2 linked regions of the Stegostoma tigrinum genome follow. The protein of the gene in region 2 interacts with the protein of the main gene of each other region in a pairwise test. Links are inferred from orthologs where the notes say so. Each region holds a gene or a part of one and is shown on either strand. Other genes may lie near its edges. The genes, in order: ubxn1 and plaa.

The links.
Region 1: the proteins of plaa (region 2) and ubxn1 interact in binary tests that used the Homo sapiens proteins (3 or more experiments, as listed by UniProt). The two-hybrid records come from large-scale screens. The link is inferred for Stegostoma tigrinum from reciprocal best matches to the Homo sapiens genes PLAA and UBXN1.

The regions. Positions count from the first base shown.
Region 1 is NC_081395.1:4,325,720-4,335,085, forward strand, and holds the start of ubxn1 (UBX domain-containing protein 1), read right to left. Parts: upstream 4,256-9,366; 5' UTR 4,023-4,255; intron 1-4,022.
Region 2 is NC_081356.1:6,064,870-6,074,235, forward strand, and holds the start of plaa (phospholipase A-2-activating protein), read left to right. Parts: upstream 1-4,687; 5' UTR 4,688-4,722; coding exon 4,723-4,865; intron 4,866-9,366. UniProt on the Homo sapiens protein: Plays a role in protein ubiquitination, sorting and degradation through its association with VCP. Involved in ubiquitin-mediated membrane proteins trafficking to late endosomes in an ESCRT-dependent manner, and hence plays a role in synaptic vesicle recycling.

The sequences.
Region 1 (9,366 bases), on a different chromosome or scaffold from region 2:
GGGTGGGGGTGGGGGTGGGGGTGGGGGTGTATGGGGTGGGGGTGGGGGTGGGGATGTATGGGGTGGGGGTGTATGGGGTGGGGGTGGGGGTGGGGATGTATGGGGTGGGGGTGTATGGGGTGGGGGTGGGGGTGTATGGGGTGGGGGTGGGGGTGTATGGGGTGGGGGTGGGGGTGGGGGAGGGTGATGGGGTGGGGGTGATGGGGTGGGGGTGATGGGGTGGGGGTGTACGGGGCGGGGTGGGGGTGTACGGGGCGGGGTGGGGGTGTACGGGGCGGGGTGGGGGTGTACGGGGCGGGGGGGGTGTACGGGGCGGGGGGGGTGTACGGGGCGGGGGGGGGTGTACGGGGCGGGGGGGGGGTGTACGGGGCGGGGGGGGGGTGTACGGGGCGGGGGGGGGTGTACGGGGCGGGGGGGGGTGTACGGGGCGGGGGGGGTGTACGGGGCGGGGGGGGGTGTACGGGGCGGAGGGGGGTGTACGGGGCGGGGGGGGGTGTACGGGGCGGGGGGGGTGTACGGGGCGGGGGGGGTGTGTACGGGGCGGGGGGGGTGTGTACGGGGCGGGGCGGGGCGGGGCGGTGTACGGGGCGGGGGGGGGTGTACGGGGGGGGGTGTATGGGGCGGGGGGGTGCGCGGGGGGGGTATACGGGGCGGGGGGGGTATACGGGGCGGGGGGGGGTATACGGGGCGGGGGGGGAGTGTACGGGGCGGGGGGGAGTGTACGGGGCGGGGGGAGTGTACGGGGCGGGGGGAGTGTGCGGGGCGGGGGGAGTGTGCGGGGGGGGTGTACGGGGCGGGGGGGGGGGTGTACGGGGCGGGGGGGGGGGTGTACGGGGCGGGGGGGGGCGTACGGGGCGGGGGGGGCGTACGGGGCGGGGGGGGCGTACGGGGCGGGGGGGGGGGTGTACGGGGCGGGGGGGGCGTACGGGGCGGGGGGGGGTGTACGGGGCGGAGGGGGGTGTACGGGGCGGAGGGGGGTGTACGGGGCGGGGGGGGGTGTACGGGGCGGGGGGGGGGTGTACGGGGCGGGGGGGGTGTACGGGGCGGGGGGGGTGTACGGGGCGGGGGGGGTGTATGGGGCGGGGGGGAGTGTACGGGGCGGGGGGGGTGTGCGGGGGGGTGTGCGGGGCGGGGGGGGTGTACGGGGCGGGGGGGGGTGTACGGGGCGGGGGGGCGTGTACGGGGCGGGGGTGATGATGAGTTGGTGTATGGGGTGGGGGGCTGTATGGGGTGGGGGGCTGTATGGGGTGGGGTCACGGTGAGGGGCTGTATGGGGTGGGGTCAAGGTGAGGGGGTGTATGGGGTGGTGGGTGTATAGGTGGGGTTGTATGGGGTGGGGGTGATGGTGGAGGGTGTATGGGGTGGGGGGGGTGTATGGGGTGGGGGGGGTGTATGGGGTGGGGGGGGTGTATGGGGTGTATGGGGTGTATGGGGTGGGGGGGTGTATGGGGTGGGGGGGTGTATGGGGTGGGGGTGATGGTGGGGGGGTGTATGAGTTGGGGGGGTGTATGAGGTGGGGGGGTGTATGGGGTGGGGGTGATGGTGAAGGAGTGTATGGGGTGAGGGAGTGTATGGGGTGAGGGAGTGTATGGGGTGGGGGTGATGGTGAGGGGCTGTATGGGGCGGGGGGTGTATGGGGCGGGGGGGTGTATGTGGCGGGGGGGTGTATGTGGCGGGGGGGTGTAACGGGCCGTGGGGGTGTAACGGGCGGGGGGGTGTAACGGGCGGGGGGGTGTAACGGGCGGGGGGGTGTAAGGGGCGGGGTGGTGTAAGGGGCGGGGGGGTGTAAGGGGGGGTGTATGGGGTGGGGTGTATGGGGTGGGGTGTATGGGGTGGGGTGTATGGGGTGGGGTGTATGGGGTGGGATGTTTGGGGTAGGGGTGATGGTGAGGGGGTGTAGGGCGTGGGAGTGTTAGGGGTTGGGTGTACGGGGCGGGGTTGGGTGTACGGGGCGGGGTTGGGTGTACGGGGCGGGGTTGGGTGTACGGGGCGGGGGTTGGGTGTACGGGGCGGGGGTTGGGTGTACGGGGCGGGGGGGGTGTACGGGGCGGGGGGGGTGTACGGGGCGGGGGGGGTGTACGGGGCGGGGCGGGGGGGGTGTACGGGGCGGGGCGGGGGGGGTGTACGGGGCGGGGGGGGGTGTACGGGGCGGGGGGGGGGTGTACGGGGCGGGGCGGGGGGGGTGTACGGGGCGGGGCGGGGGGTGTACGGGGCGGGGCGGGGGGGTGTGCGTACGGGGCGGGGGGTGTGCGTACGGGGCGGGGGGGGGGTGCGCACGGGGCGGGGGGGGGTGCGCACGGGGCGGGGGGGGGTGCGCACGGGGCGGGGGGGTGCGCACGGGGCGGGGTGGGTGCGCACGGGGCGGGTGTGGGTGCGCACGGGGCGGGGGGGGGTGCGCACGGGGGCGGGGGGGGGTGCGCACGGGGCGGGGGGGGTGCGCACGGGGCGGGGGGGGTGCGCACGGGGCGGGGGGGGTGCGCACGGGGCGGGGGGGGTGCGCACGGGGCGGGGGGGTGTGTGCACGGGGCGGGGGGGGTGCACGGGGCGGGGGGGTGCACGGGGCGGGGGGTGATGATGAGGGGGTGTATGGGGCGGGGGGTGATGATGAGGGGGTGTATGGGGTGTGGGGCTGTATGGGGTGGGGGGGTGTATGGGGCGCGGGTGATGATGAGGGGGTGTATGGGGTGAGGGGGTGTATGGGGTGGGGGGCTGTATGGGGTGGGGGTCAAGGTGAGGGGCTGTATGGGGTGGGGGTGATGGTGAGCGGGTGTTTGGGGTGGGGGGGTGTTTGGGGTGGGGGGGTGTATGGGGCGGGGGTGTGTATGGGGCGGGGGTGTGTATGGGGCGGGGGTGTATGGGGCGGGGGTGTATGGGGCGGGGGTGTGGGGCGGGGGGTGAGTGTGGGGTGGCGAGTGTGGGGTGGGGTGGGGGGGGGCGAGTGTGGGGTGGGGTGGGGGGGCGAGTGTGGGGTGGGGGGGCGAGTGTGGGGTGGGGGGGTGAGTGTGGGGTGGGGGGGTGAGTGTGGGGTGGGGGGGTGGGTTGGGGGGTGTGTGTGGGGTGGGGGGGTGGTGTGGTGGGGTGGGGGGGTGTTGGGGTGGGGTGGTGGGGTGGTGGGGTGGGGTGGTGGGGTGGGGTGGTGGGGTGGGGTGGGGGGTGTGTGTGGGGTGGGGTGGTGGGGTGGGGTGGGGTGGTGGGGTGGGGGGTGTGTGTGGGGTGGGGTGGTGGGGTGTGGGGTGTGTGTGGGGTGGGGTGGGGTGTGTGTGGGGTGGGGTGGGGTGTGTGTGGGGTGGGGTGGGGTGTGTGTGGGGTGGGGTGGGGGGTGTGTGGTGTGGGGTGGGGTGGTGTGGGGTGGGGTGGGGTGGGGTGGGGTGGGGGGGTGAGTGTGGGGTGGGGTGGGGGGTGAGTGTGGGGTGGGGGGTGTGTGTGGGGTGTGTGGGTGGGGTGGGGTGTGTGGGTGGGTGGGGTGGGGTGGGGTGTGTGGGTGGGTGGGGTGGGGTGGGGTGGGGTGGGGGTGTGTGTGTGGGGTGGGAGGTGTGTGGGGTGGGAGGTGTGTGGGGTGGGGTGGGGTGGGGTGGTGGGGGGGTGAGTGTGGGGTGGGGGTGTGTGTGGTGGGGGGTTGTGTGGGGTGGGGGGTGTGTGTGTGGTGGGGGGTGTGTGGGGTGGGGGTGTGTGTGGGTGGGGGGTGGTGGGGGTGTGTGTGGGTGGGGGGTTGTGGGGGTGTGTGTGGGGTGGGCGGTTGTGTGGGGTGGGGGGTTGTGTGTGGTGGGGGTGTGTGTGGGGTGGGGTGGGGTGGGGGGGGTGTGTGTGCGGTGGGGGGGTGTGTGTGGGGTGGGGGGTGTGTGGGGTGGGGGCTGTGAAGGTGTTGTAACCCACAGCCCTGTGTCAGGGTCTGGTTTTGTCCGTGGGGGTGGGGGGTTTATTTTCTCTCTGTGTGAGGGATGGTGACCCATCCTGTGGTTTAATCGGGAGTGAATGGGTAATTCCTGCAGCACATTCCCCAGACCCCTCCGCCTCGGGCCTACCTGCAGCTCCGAAGCCTCGGTGTTTCCTACGGCCCGGCGGCGGGCGAGCGGGAGGTTTTCACACGGATCCCGGGCTCAGCAGCAAGAGGCGGGCTCCAGTCATCACCCACAGGCTGTGGGGGTGGGGAATGTGTGTGAGGGTGTGTGTCGGGGAGGTCTGCTCAGCTTCACCACCCGGTAACCGGAGAGACAGGCTCACCGTGAGGGGGAGGGGCTTAGGGTGGGAAGGGGCGGAGCTTATGGCGGGTTGGGGTTTACGGTTGGTTGGCTCTTACCGTGTGTAGGGGGTGGGGCTTACTATGTGCAGTGCGGCACACCGTGCGGGGCGGGGCTTACTGTGTGGGGTGGAGCTTACCATGTGGGGGTGTGGCTTACATTGTGGGGCGGAGTTTACTATGGGCAGGCCGACGCAGTGTGGGGAGGGGCTTACAGTGTGCGGCGGGGCTTACCATGTGGGGGTGTGGCTTACAGTGTGGGGCGGGGCTTACTATGGGCACTCCGGCCCTTCGCGTGTGGTAGGGAGTACAGGGAGGCGAGGGTCCTGCCGTAGGGGTGTGGCTTACAGCGTGGGGCGGGGATTACTATCCGCACGCGGCTCACCGTGTGGGGAGGGGCTTGCCATGTGGGGAGGAGCTTACTATGTGCAGTGCGGCTCACAGTGTGGGGAGGGGCATGAAAAGTGGGTGTGGCTTACAGTGTGGGGTGGGTCTTACAGTGTGGAGAGGCTTGGGGATGGGCAGGGTTGAGGGTGGGGGTTTTAGTGAGGGGTTTGGGAATTAGGGGAGAGGGGCATGAAGGTGAGGAAAGGCTTAGTGTGATTGGGGCTTAATCAGGGCGGAGTGAGGGGGTTTAGAGGGAATGAAGGGGTTTAGAGAGGGGGTGGAATTTAGAATGGGGGTTTGTGGAATGGGTGTGGATTGTGTGGTGTTTAGTGTGAGGGACTGAGAGAGAAAGAGATGGTGTTTAGAGTGATAACAAAGTGTGAGGCTGGATGAACACAGCAGGCCAAGCAGCATCTCAGGAGCACAAAAGCTGACGTTTCGGGCCTAGACCCTTCATCACCTCCTTGACCTGTCCGTCTTCCCTGGACTGACCTATCCCCTCCCTACCTCCCCACCTACACTCTCTCCACCTATCTTCTTTTCTCTCCATCTTCGGTCCGCCTCCCCCTCTCTCCCTATTTATTCCAGTTCCCTCTCCCCATCCCCCTCTCTGATGAAGGGTCTAGGCCCGAAACGTCAGCTTTTGTGCTTCTGAGATGCTGCTTGGCCTGCTGTGTTCATCCAGCCTCACACTTTGTTATATAGAACATAGAACAATACAGCACTTCAGCCCACGATGTTGTGCCGAACTTTTACTCTAATCCTAAGGTCTATTGAACCTCCACCCCTATGTTATACTATCATCCATATGTCTATCTAATAGCCACTTGTGGAGGAATCAAAAACATGCTTACCGAATGACAGGGCAAGCTCAAGGGGGCAAGCTGCCTTTTCCTGCTCTTACTTTCTATGTTCATATGTACTCAAATTTTTAAACTACACAGTGTTACGTTACAACAATTTACTTTTTAATGCTTTGCATATAAAGTTTGCTCAAAAATATGAAATCTCGTCTTGGATTCACCAGCATCTGCAGTTCCCATTATCCGTGTTTAGAGTGATATAGGGTCTTGGAGACAGAGGGTCTCAGAATGAGGGGGAGAGGCTCAAAGTGAGAGAGGGGTTCTCGGAGTGAGAGAGAAGGGTCACAGAGTGAGGATAAGAGTCTCAGAGAGGGAGGGTCTAAGAGAGATAAAGAAGGGCCTCACAGTGAGGGGGAGGGTCTCAGAGAGAGGGGAAGGGTCTCTGAGTGCGAGAGTCTCAGAGAGAGGGTGTCTCAGAGTGAGGGGGAGGGTCTCAGAGAGCATCTCAGAGTGAAGGGGAGAGTCTCAGAGTGAGGGGAAGGGTCTCAGTGAGTGCGAGAGTCTCAGAGAGACACGGTGTCTCAGAGTGAGTGGGAGGGTCTCAGAATGAAGGGGAGAGGCTCGGAGTGAGAGAGAAGGGTCAAAGAGGGAGAATGAGACTCTCAGAGAGGGAGGGTCTAAGAGAGATAGAGAAGGGTCTCACAGTGAGGGGGAGAGTCTCAGAGAGAGGGTGTCTCAGAGTGAGGGGGAGAGTCTCAGAGAGAGGGTGTCTCAGAGTGAGGGGGAGAGTCTCAGAGAGAGGGTGTCTCAGAGTGAGGGGGAGGGTCTCAGAGAGAGGATCTCAGAGTGAAGGGGAGAGTCTCAGAGTGAGGGGGAGGGTCTCAGAGAGAGGATCTCAGAGTGAAGGGGAGAGTCTCAGAGTGAGGGGGAGGGTCTCAGAGAGAGGATCTCAGAGTGAAGGGGAGAGTCTCAGAGTGAGGGGGAGGGTCTCAGAGAGAGGATCTCAGAGTGAAGGGGAGAGTCTCAGAGTGAGGGGGAGGGTCTCAGATGGAGTAGGAGGGGCTTATGATGAGGGGTTGGGGTCCGGTGGATCAGTGCTGGAGTACAGTATCTGGGTGGGAAATGGAGTCTCCTGTCAATCAGTGGGTGGGGTATGGCCTGTCCTCAGGTGGCAACCAAACCTTGGGCAACCTTTGGTCATTCAGCCCTTTCGCCCCTCACTTCTAGCCCTTTGAGTAACAGCAATGCCATCACTGTTAGCCTGGCCTTACCCTCACAGATCTTCAAACCTCCAGGTAATATGATTTTTTACATATTCCTGAGGCTCAATGCTGTCTGTCTCTCTCTCAGTGCAACGGCGCAGATAGGTCGGTGAAGTCAGCAGAAGACCCCAAACGATGAGAAACAATGAGCGGGCAAACCTGGGCGGGAGATGTCAAGGTCTGCATTGGGAGTTAGAGATGCGGCAGTCTCCAGAGGAGAGATCGGTGCCAGATTTCAAGCCATGGGCTATGGTTCAAAAAAAACGACCTGACATGCATGGTAAGCACAGTTTAAACAGCTAGGAGTTAAAGCAGTGTGCGCAGATGAACTGGAGAGAGCAGGCATGATACAAGTGGAGCTTTCGCAGGCAACCAACTGTCCCTCTCTCTCTCTCTCCACACTGTGTCTCCTGCAATCACGCTAAGTTCTGTTTGTGGAAAACATGACGGAAATGCGAAGGGAGTGACAATAAACATCAGAATAGCGTCATAAGTACCATGGTATAACCGTAACATTTGAAGTAATGTGCGAGAGACCATGAAGAAACCATGCCTTGCTCTGTATTTATGTGAGTTGGAACTGTAAGTGTACGGGACAACATTTAGCATCAATCTACCACAGGCAGTCACAGGTCAGAGATAACACTGACCCAAAGCCGATAAGACAGAATGAGTCTCCCTCCCCCACCCACCCAGTACAAAATGCTCAGGCACAAGACTTAGACAACACACATAAGCAGCTCCGACAGCGCCCATTCCCTCACCACTGACACTCCGGTGCCCGTTTCCTCAGCACTGACCCTCTGACAGTGCCTGCTCCCCCTGTACTGACCCTCAGACAGTGCCCGCTCCCTCAGCACTGATCCTCCGGCAGTGCCCGCTCCCTCAGCGCTAACCCTCTGACAGTGCCCACTCCCTCAGCGCTAACCCTCCGACAGTGCCCACTCCCTCAGCGCTAACCCTCTGACAGTGCCCACCCCCTCAGCGCTAACCCTCCCACAGTGCGGCGCTCCCTCAGCAGTGACCCTCCGACAGTGCCCGCTCCCTCAGCACTGACCCTCCGACAGTGCCCACTCCCTCAGCGCTGACCCTCTGACAGTGCCCGCTCCCTCAGCACTGACCCTCCGACAGTGCCCGCTCCCTCAGCACTGACCCTCCGACAATGCCGGCTCCCTCAGCACTGACCCTCCGACAGCGCCCGCTCTCTCAGCACTGACACTCAGACAGTGCCCGCTCCCTCAGCAATGACCCTCCGACAGTGCCCCCTCCCTCAGCACTGACCCTCCGAGGGTGCCTGCTCGCTCAGCACTGACCCTCCGACAGTGCCCGCTCTCTCTGCGCTGACCCTCCAACAATGCCCGCTCCCTCAGCACTGACCCTCCGACAGTGCCCGCTCGCTCAGCACTGACCCTCCGACAGTGCCTGCTCTCTCTGCGCTCACCCTCCAACAGTGCCCAGTCACTCATCATTGACCCTCCGACGGTGCCTGCTCCCTCAGCACTGACCATCCAGTGCCCTCTCCTTGACCACTGACCATCCGACAGTGCCCGCTCCCTCAGCACTGACCCTCCAACAGTGCCCTCTCCCTCAGCCCTAACCCTCCCACAGTGCGGCACACCCTCAGCGCTGAACTTCCGACAGTGCCCACTCCCTCAGCGCTGACCATCCGACAATGCCCGCTCCCTCAGCACTGACCCTCCGACAGTTCCTGCTCCCTCAGCAATGACCCTCGGACATTGCCCACTCCCACAGCAATGACCCTCCAACAGTGCCCGCTCCCTCAGCACTGACCATCTGACTGTGCCTGCTCCATCAGCGCTGACCCTTGGACAATGCTGGCTCCCTCAGCACTGACCCTCTGACAGTGCCCGCTCCCTTAGCGCTGACCCTCCGACAGTGCCCGCTCCCTCAGCGCTCACCCTCCAAATGCCCGCTCCCTTAGCACTGACCCTCCGACAGTGCCCGCTCCTTCAGCACTGACCCTCCGACAGTGCCCGCTCCCTCAGCACTGACCCTCCAACAGTGCCCGCTCCCTCAGTGCTGACCCACTGACAGTGCCCGCTCCCTCAGCGCTGACCCTCCGACAGTGCCCGCTCCCTCAGCACTGACCATCCGACAGTGCCCGCTCCCTTAGCACTGACCGTCCGACAGTGCCCGCTCCCGCAGCACTCACCCTCCGACAATGCCCGCTCCCTCAGCACTCACCCTCCGACAATGCCCGCTCCCTCAGCACTCACCCTCCGACAATGCCTGCTCCCTCAGCACTGACCCTCCGACAGTGCCAGCTCCCACAGCAATGACCTTCCGACTGTGCCCACTCCCTCAGTGCTGACACTCCGACAATGCCTGCTCCCTCAGCACTGACCTTCCGACAGTGCCAGCTCCCACAGCAATGACCTTCCGACTGTGCCCACTCCCTCAGTGCTGACACTCCGACAGTGCCCGCTCCCTCAGCACTGACCTTCCAACAGTGCCCACTCCCTCAGTGCTGACACTCCGACAATGCCTGCTCCCTCAGCACTGACCTTCCGACAGTGCCAGCTCCCACAGCAATGACCTTCCGACTGTGCCCACTCCCTCAGTGCTGACACTCCGACAGTGCACGCTCCCTCAGCAATGACCCTCCGACAGTGCCTGCTCTCTCAGCGCTTCCCCTCCAACAGTGCCCAGTCCCTCA
Region 2 (9,366 bases):
GAAGTATATAAGATTCTTAAGGTTTGACAGGGTAAATGCAGAGAGGAAGTTTTCCCTCATGGGAAAACCTAGGACGAGTGGGCACAGTCTCAGAATAAAGAGCACAAATTTAAAACTGAGGATTGAGAGTCTTTGGAACTCCTGCCACAGAGATCTGTGGGGAGGGCAGGTTCTTGGTCATACATCATGGAAACAGACCCTTTGGTTCAACTCAATCACATTGACCAGTCATCTCAATCTGACCCAGTCCCATTTGATAGCATTTAATCCATAATCCCTCTCAACCCTTCCTATTCATATATCCATCTGGGTGCCTTTTAAATGTTGGAATTGTACCCATTTCCACCACTTTCTCTGGTAGCTTGTTCTATACATGCACACCTTCTGGCCTCCGTTTTAAATTTTTTCCCCCGTCACCTTAAACCTATACTCTCTAGTTCGTGTAAAAAGTTCATGCACCAGCGCAGCCTGCTGCTGGATCTCACTTGTCACATTCTGCAAAAACCTATATATACTGTTTTCTGCTGGGCCGCCAATCTACTATCCATGTTAATATGCAACCCCCTAAACATGAGCCTTTATTTTCCACAATGACTTTTCATGTGATACCTTAACAAATGCCTTCTGGAAATGCATGTATAGTCCACCTAAAGGGTCTCCTTTATCCACAATGAATGTTAGTCCTTCAGATATTTTCTAATCAATGTACTGAGAGGTGCCAGTTCACACCACTGGATTAGATGGGACTTCAACCTGGGCCTCCTCGCTCTGAGGTAGGGACTGCCACTGTGCCACAACAACCCTCATTATGTTACTTTTCCAATGAGCTCCAATCCTTGTGTATGTTTAAGGCTGAGATAGATTCTTGATCAGTAGAGGAATTTGAAGTTTATGGGGCAAAGGTCAGAATATAGGACATTACGTGTCATATCAAAGGTCATGGTGAAAAGGCAAGAAAGTGTGTGTGAAGAATGTCAGATCCAGAGTTAAGGGGAACTGGTCAGAAGTGTCAGATCAACTGTTACAAAGTGGCAGAAAAGTGGATGAGAGGATTGTTGGGTTGAGGATTACAGGGAGAGGGCAGAAAAGCGGGTGTGAAGAGTATGTCAAATTAAAGGTTGGGGAAAAAGGGCAGAAAATGAATGTGAGGAATGTTGGATAAAGAATTAAGGGATGTTATGACCTTGGTCAGAAAGTAAAAGAAAGCATACATAAGGTTTATGAGGATGCAAACTGATGAAGCCCCTTGAAGTTTATAAGTAGGGAAGAACTTAAACAAGGATTTAGAAGGGCTAAAAGCTGCCATGAAAAGTTGTGAGCGAACAGATTTAAGGAGAATCCCAAGGCTTTTTATACATATGGGAGCCAAAGCAAGGGTTGGCCCACTCAAGGACAAAGGAAGGAATCTACATGTGGAGAAGAGGTAGGTGATGTCCTAAATGAATACTTTGTGTCAGTATTCACCAAAGAGAAGGAACTGGTAGAGGATGCTGTCAGGGAAGGAAGTGGTGAGTTTCTAAACCAATTTGCTATCAAAACGGAAGAGGTGTCATTGTCTTATAAAGTATTAGGATAGATAAGTCCCCAAGTCCTAATGGGATCTGTCCCAGAATATTGAGGGGGAGGCAAGAGAATGAATTGCTGGAGCATTGACAGAGATGTTTGTATTCTCTTCGGCCACAGTTGAGGTCTTAGAGGACTGAAGAATAGCCAAAGTTGTCCCATTGCGTAAGAAGCGTAGCAAGGATAATCCTGGAAATTACAGACCTGGGAATCTCACATCACTGATAGGGAAATTATTGGAAAAAGCCTCAGGTTCAAGATTTATATGCATTTAGAAGCAAATGGACTTATTAGCGATAGACATCATTTGCGGGGCAAGTCATGCCTCACGAGCTTTATTGAGTTTTTTGAGGTGGCGATGAAGATGATTGATGAGGGAAAAGCAGTTAATGTTATCTACATGGACTTCAGTAAAGCCTTTGACAAGGTTCCTCCTCGCAGGCTGGTACAAAAGGTGAAGTCACATGGTGTAGGAGTGAGCTGGCAAGATGGATACAGAACGAGCTTCGTCATAGGAGACAAAGGGTAGCAGTGGAAGGATCCTTGTCAGAATGGAGGGTTGCGAGTGGTGGTGTTCAACAGGGATCAGTGCTGGGACCTCTGCTGTTCATGGTCTACATAAATTATTTGGAGGAAAATGGAGTTGGTCTAATTAATAAGTCTGCAGACAATACAAAGATTGGTGGAGTTAGGGATAGTGAGGAAGATTGTCATAGGATATAAATCAATTAGAGGCATAGACAGAAAAACAGACAAATGTGAGGTGATGCATTTTGGAAGGTCAAGTACAGGTGGAAATTATACACTGAATGGCAGAACCCTTAGGAGAATCGATATGCAGAGGGATCTGAGTGCACAGGTCCAACAGATCATTGAAGACGGGAGCACAGGCAGACAAGGTATTAAAAAGAAAGCTTATGGTATGCTTGCCTTCATTAGAAGGGGCACTGATTGTAATGATAGACAAGTTATGCTGCAGCTTAATAGAACTTTAAATAGGCTACACTTGAAACATTTTATACAGTTCTGGTCAGCACACTACCAGAAGGATGTGGATGCTTTGGAAGGGGTACAGAAAAGGATGTTCCCTGGTATGGGCAATTTTAGCTATGAAGCAAGGCTAGACAGACTGGGTTTGTTTTTGTTGGAACACAGGAGGTTGAGGGGCGACCCAATAACAAATTTATAAGATTGCGAATAGTATGGATAGGTGAAAAATATGACACCTTTTTTCCCCAGGGTGGAGGGGTCAATTACGAGGGAACATAGGTTCAAGATGCAAAGGGGTAAGTTTTTTTCACACAAAGGTGGTGAATGCCTGTAACATGTTGCCAGATGAGCTGGTCAAAGAAGACACAATAGCAGCATTTAAGAAGCATTTGGACGAGTACATGAATAGGAAGGAAATGGAGGGATATGGATCCTTTAAGTGAAGATAGTTTTAGAATGGAAGGGCAAATTGTGTCCCTGTAGGCTTGGAGGGCCGAAGGGCTTGTTCCTGCTCTGTATTGTTCTTTGATCTAAAAACCTAAAGAACTGCAGATGCTGTAAAGCAGGACCAAAAACAGAAGTTGCAAGAAAAGCTCAGCAGGTCTGGCAACATCTGTGAAGAAAACAAAATCAGTTAATGTTTCAGGTCTGGTGACCCCTCCTTAGAACTTGTTCTTTGTTCGTTCTAAGGCACGAAAGTGAACCTGAGTTTTGGATCTAGGGTTGGCGGGGGGGGGGGGGAGAAAAGGTATTAAAGTGGATGTGAAGAGCGTTGGATAAAGGGTTAAGAAGAAAAAGCCAGCAAAGTGGGCATGATAATAAAGTGTGAAGCTGGATGAACACAGCAGGCCAAGCAGCATCTCAGGAGCACAAAAGCTGACGTTTCGGGCCTAGACCCTTCATCAGAGAGGGGGATGGGGTGAGGGTTCTGGAATAAATAGAGAGAGAGGGGGAGACAGACCGAAGATGGAGAGAAAAGAAGATAGCTGGAGAGGAGAGTATGGGTGGGGAGGTAGGGAGGGGATAGGTCAGTCCAGGGAAGACGGACAGGTCAAGGAGGTGGGATGAGGTTAGTAGGTAGGAAATGGAGGTGCGGCTTGGGGTGGGAGGAAGGGATGGGTGAGAGGAAGAACAGGTTAGGGAGGCAGAGACAGGCTGGGCTGGTTTTGGGATGCAGTGGGTGGAGGGGAAGAGCTGGGCTGGTTGTGTGGTGCAGTGGGGGGAGGGGACGAACTGGGCTGGTTTTGGGATGCGGTAGGGGAAGGGGAGATTTTGAAGCTGGTGAAGTCCACATTGGTAACACTGGGCTGCAGGGTTCCCAGGCGGAATATGAGTTGCTGTTCCTGCGACCTTCGGGTGGCATCATTGTGGCACTGCAGGAGGCCCATGATGGACATGTCATTTGAGGAATGGGAGGGGGAGTGGAAATGGTTCGCGACTGGGACGTGCATGTAGCATGAGGAGTTTTCAACTTTGGAATGTGGGGATAAGGGCAGGAAAGTGGGCGTGAGGAGTTTTCGATTTAGGAATGTGGGAAAAGGCGGAGGAAAGTGGGTGTGAGGAATGTTGAATCAGCCACGATCCTACTGAATTGGGGGGGGGGGGGGGGTGGACAGGCTAGTGGGGCTGAATTCCTCGTGTTCCGATGTCTCCTGAGTTTTTACCTGGGCTCAGTCAGGATTGTGGGGACCGGGACGCTGGCTCCTAGTGGGTCGTGCGAGCCTCTAGATGTCGGTGCGGCCTCTTACCGCCCGCCCACAACACACCACAACCTTCCCCCTTTGTTTTTCCCCTCTCCTCACCAACAACTTTCCCGGTTTGTCACCGAAAACAAACGACGAAAATATCTTTTCCCAAAAACAAAAAAAACGGCGGAATGAAATGAGCACCTTTTTTGTGCACGCACTCCCCCACCCGCCGTCCTAAGTTTAACAGTCGGACATTGATTACGGTTACCATGGCGACGACCTCTGACCCGTCGATAATTGTTAACGTATTTGTTTTACAACTTAAGGTTAAAATGTGTATCTGTGTCCGCCTCCCTGTGTTTGTTTGGGGAGGTCTGAGGTGTTTTTTTGTTAAAAACATGTTATTCCTGACGGTTGGACAGGAAGGGGGAGGTGGTTCCCAGGAGGCCGCCCTGTTACCGGCGGACACTGCCAGGCCGACATGGCGTCGTCCGCCTACAGGCTCAGCTGCTCCCTCGCCGGGCATCAGATGGACGTCAGGGGGTTGGCTACCACCCTGTTCCCCGTCGGAGCCTTCGTGTCCGTGTCCAGGGACCGCACGGCCCGGGTCTGGGTGCCCAACAGGTAATCGAGAGTAAAGCCGTGAAGGTTACCCGGCGGCTGCTAGGCCCCGCCACAGGGAGCAGCACTCACTGATGAGTTGACAGTTTTCCGTTTGGAGCTGTGTGTGTGGTGCTTGGGGTGCAGGAATTCGGAGCGAGCTGGTATTGAGTGTAGGGGGCCTGTCGTTGGTAGAAAGCAAGCCTGATTTTTATGAAGCGTTCTTAGTTTAGCATTTAGGAGCCAACGTAAGGCCATAAGATCATAAGAAACAGGAACAGAGGTCCTCTGTCCAACCTCCTGCTCTGCCATTCAGTAAGATTGTGGCTGTTCCAGAATTCCTCGTTCGCTTTCCTGCCTTTTAACCCATAACCCTTGAGTTTGCTTACTAGTTAAGATCTATCTATCCCAGCGTTACATAGGCACAAGGATGCTTGCCCCCACAGATCTTTGTGGCAAAGACACTCCACCCTCTGAGAAGAAATTCTTCAATGGCCGGCTCTTGAATGAGGGGGCCATAGTTTTTGGATTAGAGGCAAGAGTTTTAAAAATATGGATGAGAAGAAAATACATCTCAAAGCCGTTGTGAATATATGGAATTCGCTACGCTCGAGTTTATAGATTTTTCTACACTAGTCCTGCACTCCTTGATTCTCCTCTGTATTCAAAAATGTTTTGATATTTGACTTGGACACAGTCATCATGTATCCAGTGTAAAATTCCAAAGATTCACTGTCCTTTGAAGGAATAGACTTCGTTCCACTTTTCAGTCCCAAATGTGTAATCTACTTTGAGTAACCTTAAAAAGAGGAGATTCTAATTTAAAATCAAATCTTAATGAGTTGAAGGATTGTGGAGAGCAGGCAGAAAAGTGGAGTAGGGGTTAAGATGATATCAGTTATGATTGCATCAAATGGAGGAACAGGCTCAAAGTGCTGAGTTTCCTATTTCTGCTCTGAGCTCTATGTATTCTGTGTTCTTGTCTACTGTGTACAGATTTATTTACTTTTTTTCTTTTTTGTAGCAAACTTTTAACATTGGAGCCTTTACCTTTACTTACTATATCTCAATGTTCTTCATGGATGTGTTCTTAAAATTGGACACTGAACCAAATAAGGGGATATTAGGGCAGGTGATCAAAGGTTTTATCAGGGCTGTAAGGGTTAAGTGTCTGGAAAAAGAGAACTTTAGATCATGGTCATGGCATTGTAAAGCATATCAGTTAGTGGAGTGAATTTGTTAACTGGAGTGCAGTAAATCAGAATTGCAGGAGATATAGTGAAGATAGAGAACTACACAGATTTGAAACACTTATGAATACAATATAAAATAGCAGGAGTCGGCAATGCGCCTTTTTGTGTCAGCTCCTTCATTCAATAAGATCATAATTGAGGGTGCCTAATGCTTGATTTGTCTTGACTTTCCCTTCCAGCAATACCTCGATGTTCCGTAATTCCTTTTGTATCCAAAAATCTATTTGATCTTTATTCTGAGTATATTCATCTAATTTGACCTACTTGTTGCAGTCCTAAATGATTAAACTTTTTTTTTGAGACCATGAACCCGACTTCTGGACTCTTCAATCAATGCAGATATCCTGCCAGCATTTATCTGGTTGGTCCCTTAAGAATTTTATTCCGTCTCCGTGAGATCAGCTCTCGTTCTTCTAAAGTTTATGGAATATTGATTTTAAGTAGACTCAATCTGTTCTCTTTGGATGATCTTATCATCCCTGAAACCAGTTTAGGAAACAAGACCAAAACTGTGCTCAGGTGCTTATGAAGGTGCGATACAATTGCAGTGAAACTTCATAGTTTTTTATTCCGATCACTGTTATAAAAGGTGCTACATCATTTGCTATGGTAGCGCTTACTATACTGTGTGCGGATTTTAACAGTATGCTTTGTGGACAAGGACATTCGAATTAATCTGAAAACCAACATCATCTAGTCTGTCCTCCCCAGACTGACCTATCCCCTCCCTACCTCCCCGCCTATACTCATCTCTACAGGTTCCATCTCCGATCCTTTAACTTGTCTGTTTCCTCTCTACCTATCTTCCCCTCTATCTATCTTGATCTACGTTTCTCCCCCCCCCCCCCCCATTTATTTCAGAACCCTCTCCCCATTCCCCTTTTCTGATGAAGGGTCTAGGCCTGAAACGTCAGCTTTTGTGCTCCTAAGATGCTGCTTAGCCTGCTGCGTTCATCCAGTTCCACACTTTGTTATCTTGGATTCTCCAGCAACTGCAGTTCCCATTATCTCTCACCTAGTTTCTAACTCTCTCACTTCTCATGCTATTACACTTTGCTATGTTCGTACCGGTTCACTTACCCTGTCTATTATCCTTTGCAGCACACATTCTACCTAATATCGCTAGAAAACTTGGATAATTACTAGTTATTGACTTAGATTGCAAATACAGCCAAGAATTTTAAAATTGAGGTGATTCTGAGCTGGGAGCCATTGTAAATCAGTGAGCATAGGTAAATGAGATTTTGTGCACTTTAGGATATGGGCAGTAGAAATTTGCACGATCTCAAATTTACAAGAGAGGAGAAAGCTGGAGACCAGCCAGAGACGTATTTGAATAGTCAACTGTAAAGGTAACACATGCTTGGATGAGATCTTCTGTAGCTGATGAAAAGGCATGGTTGGGAGTAGGGGAAGCATCGTGCAGTGCTTTGCAGGTTGGAATAGTCATCTGTGTAATGGTAAGCATATGTTCAGAAGCTCACCTTGGCTTCAGATATGGTGCCAAGATGCCAAACTTTGAGTCTCAAATATTTACAAAGGAGAGGGATGGGGTCAATGGAGGGAAAATAAGTTTTTAGCTTGTTTTCAAAGCAATGGCTCCAATTTTCTCGGTATTTACATTGAGGTAATTCTTGCTCACCTTATATCAGATATCAAGCACACAAATTTAGATACTTTTGAGGCGTCATAAAGAGTTGCAACACGGCAGGGCTCACTGTAAATACAAAAGTGAAAACTGACAGTCATCTTCAGATAATTCTGCTGTGGATCAACATTTAGGTAAATAATCAACTATCTTTTTGAGGTCTTCAGTTTAGTTTTAGTTTTGATCTTAAATCTGAAGCTTGAACAAAAACATAATGGAAAGTGTCCTTGGGCAATTAATATATTTGAACAAGCTCGCTTCTTTTGCATTCAAAATGATTCATTGGGTAAACTGATAATTTATACTATTGGTTCAGGACTGAGCTCCATAGCTCAGACGAAGTCCAGTTTGATCCCAAGTTTGTGATTTAAGTTGATATTTGCTGAGCCAGATTGGATTGAGTATCTTCTTGTGGAAAACATTTATTTGAACTCCTATAGTTAATGGTTATTCTGTGATCCATTCCTTAAGAATGTAGATGAAGAAAAGCACATTGACAGGTCTGTTTTCCAAGCAATTCAAGTTTGGTGATTTTCTTTTAAGAAAAGGTCAAAAGATTAATTTTTAGCTTATGAAAATGCAAGGCTGAAGAAGAAGAAATTCACCAAGGCTCTTCTGACAGCACATTCCAAACCATTGATAGCTGCAATCTAGAGTGTCAAGCGCAGATATGTGGGAACATCATAGCCTGTATGTTCCCCCTCAAGCTGCTCACCTGTGTGATTTGGACATTTTTTACCATTCATTCACTGTCATTGGCTCAAAATTCTGAATCCTGACCTGTAACAACACTATAATTGTGTACCTCACAGCAAATGCATTGCTGTGATGCAAGAAATCCTCTCACAACCAGCTTCTGAGCGCAATTAGGGATGGGAAATAAAGTGCTCAGCCAGCTCTCATCCTCCATGAATGAAAAATCATGATACTCTAATCTTGACGTTTTGCATATTTTAACACTAGTTTTGTGAAGTTTGTGAAACCTTTAACATTGTTGAGATTGCAGTAAATATATTTTATTTAACTTATCTGTCTCATTATTGTTGCTTTTGAATCCTGCATACATGTCCTGAATACAGACATTGAGAAACGAAATACTGTTAAAATGAGGAAGAGGAAGGATTGATGTTTTCATGCAATCACTTTCATCACTGATTTGCTGCACTTAACATTCAATCTGATAGACGGTTGAAACGTTGACATTGCACATTGGTATGTCAGGATAAATGCATTTGAATGCATTATGCCTCGATGTACCTCTTTGATCCATCCATCCCGTTGACTCACTCGATGACATTAAATCACTTTGCCCGTCGCAATTTGAAAGGACTGTGGCTGTCTGTCCTGTCAGGATGTGTTCCTGACTACCTCCATTCCTTGTTTGCCTCTTCTATACTACATGAGCTGTCTCTGAAAATGTTGTCTGTGTTTATTGAACAGTATAGATGTTTTTTTTTGTTTGCCGATCCCTTCAACTTGCTTTCCTCTTCTGCTTTGACAGTTTAAGTGGAAATCTATGTTATTGGCTCAGTACAAATACCTGGTAGCCTTCTATCTAAATGTTTTTGTCTGCTCCATTAAGAATTTTAAGTGGAGGATGCTGAGACTGCAAATAACATTTGCA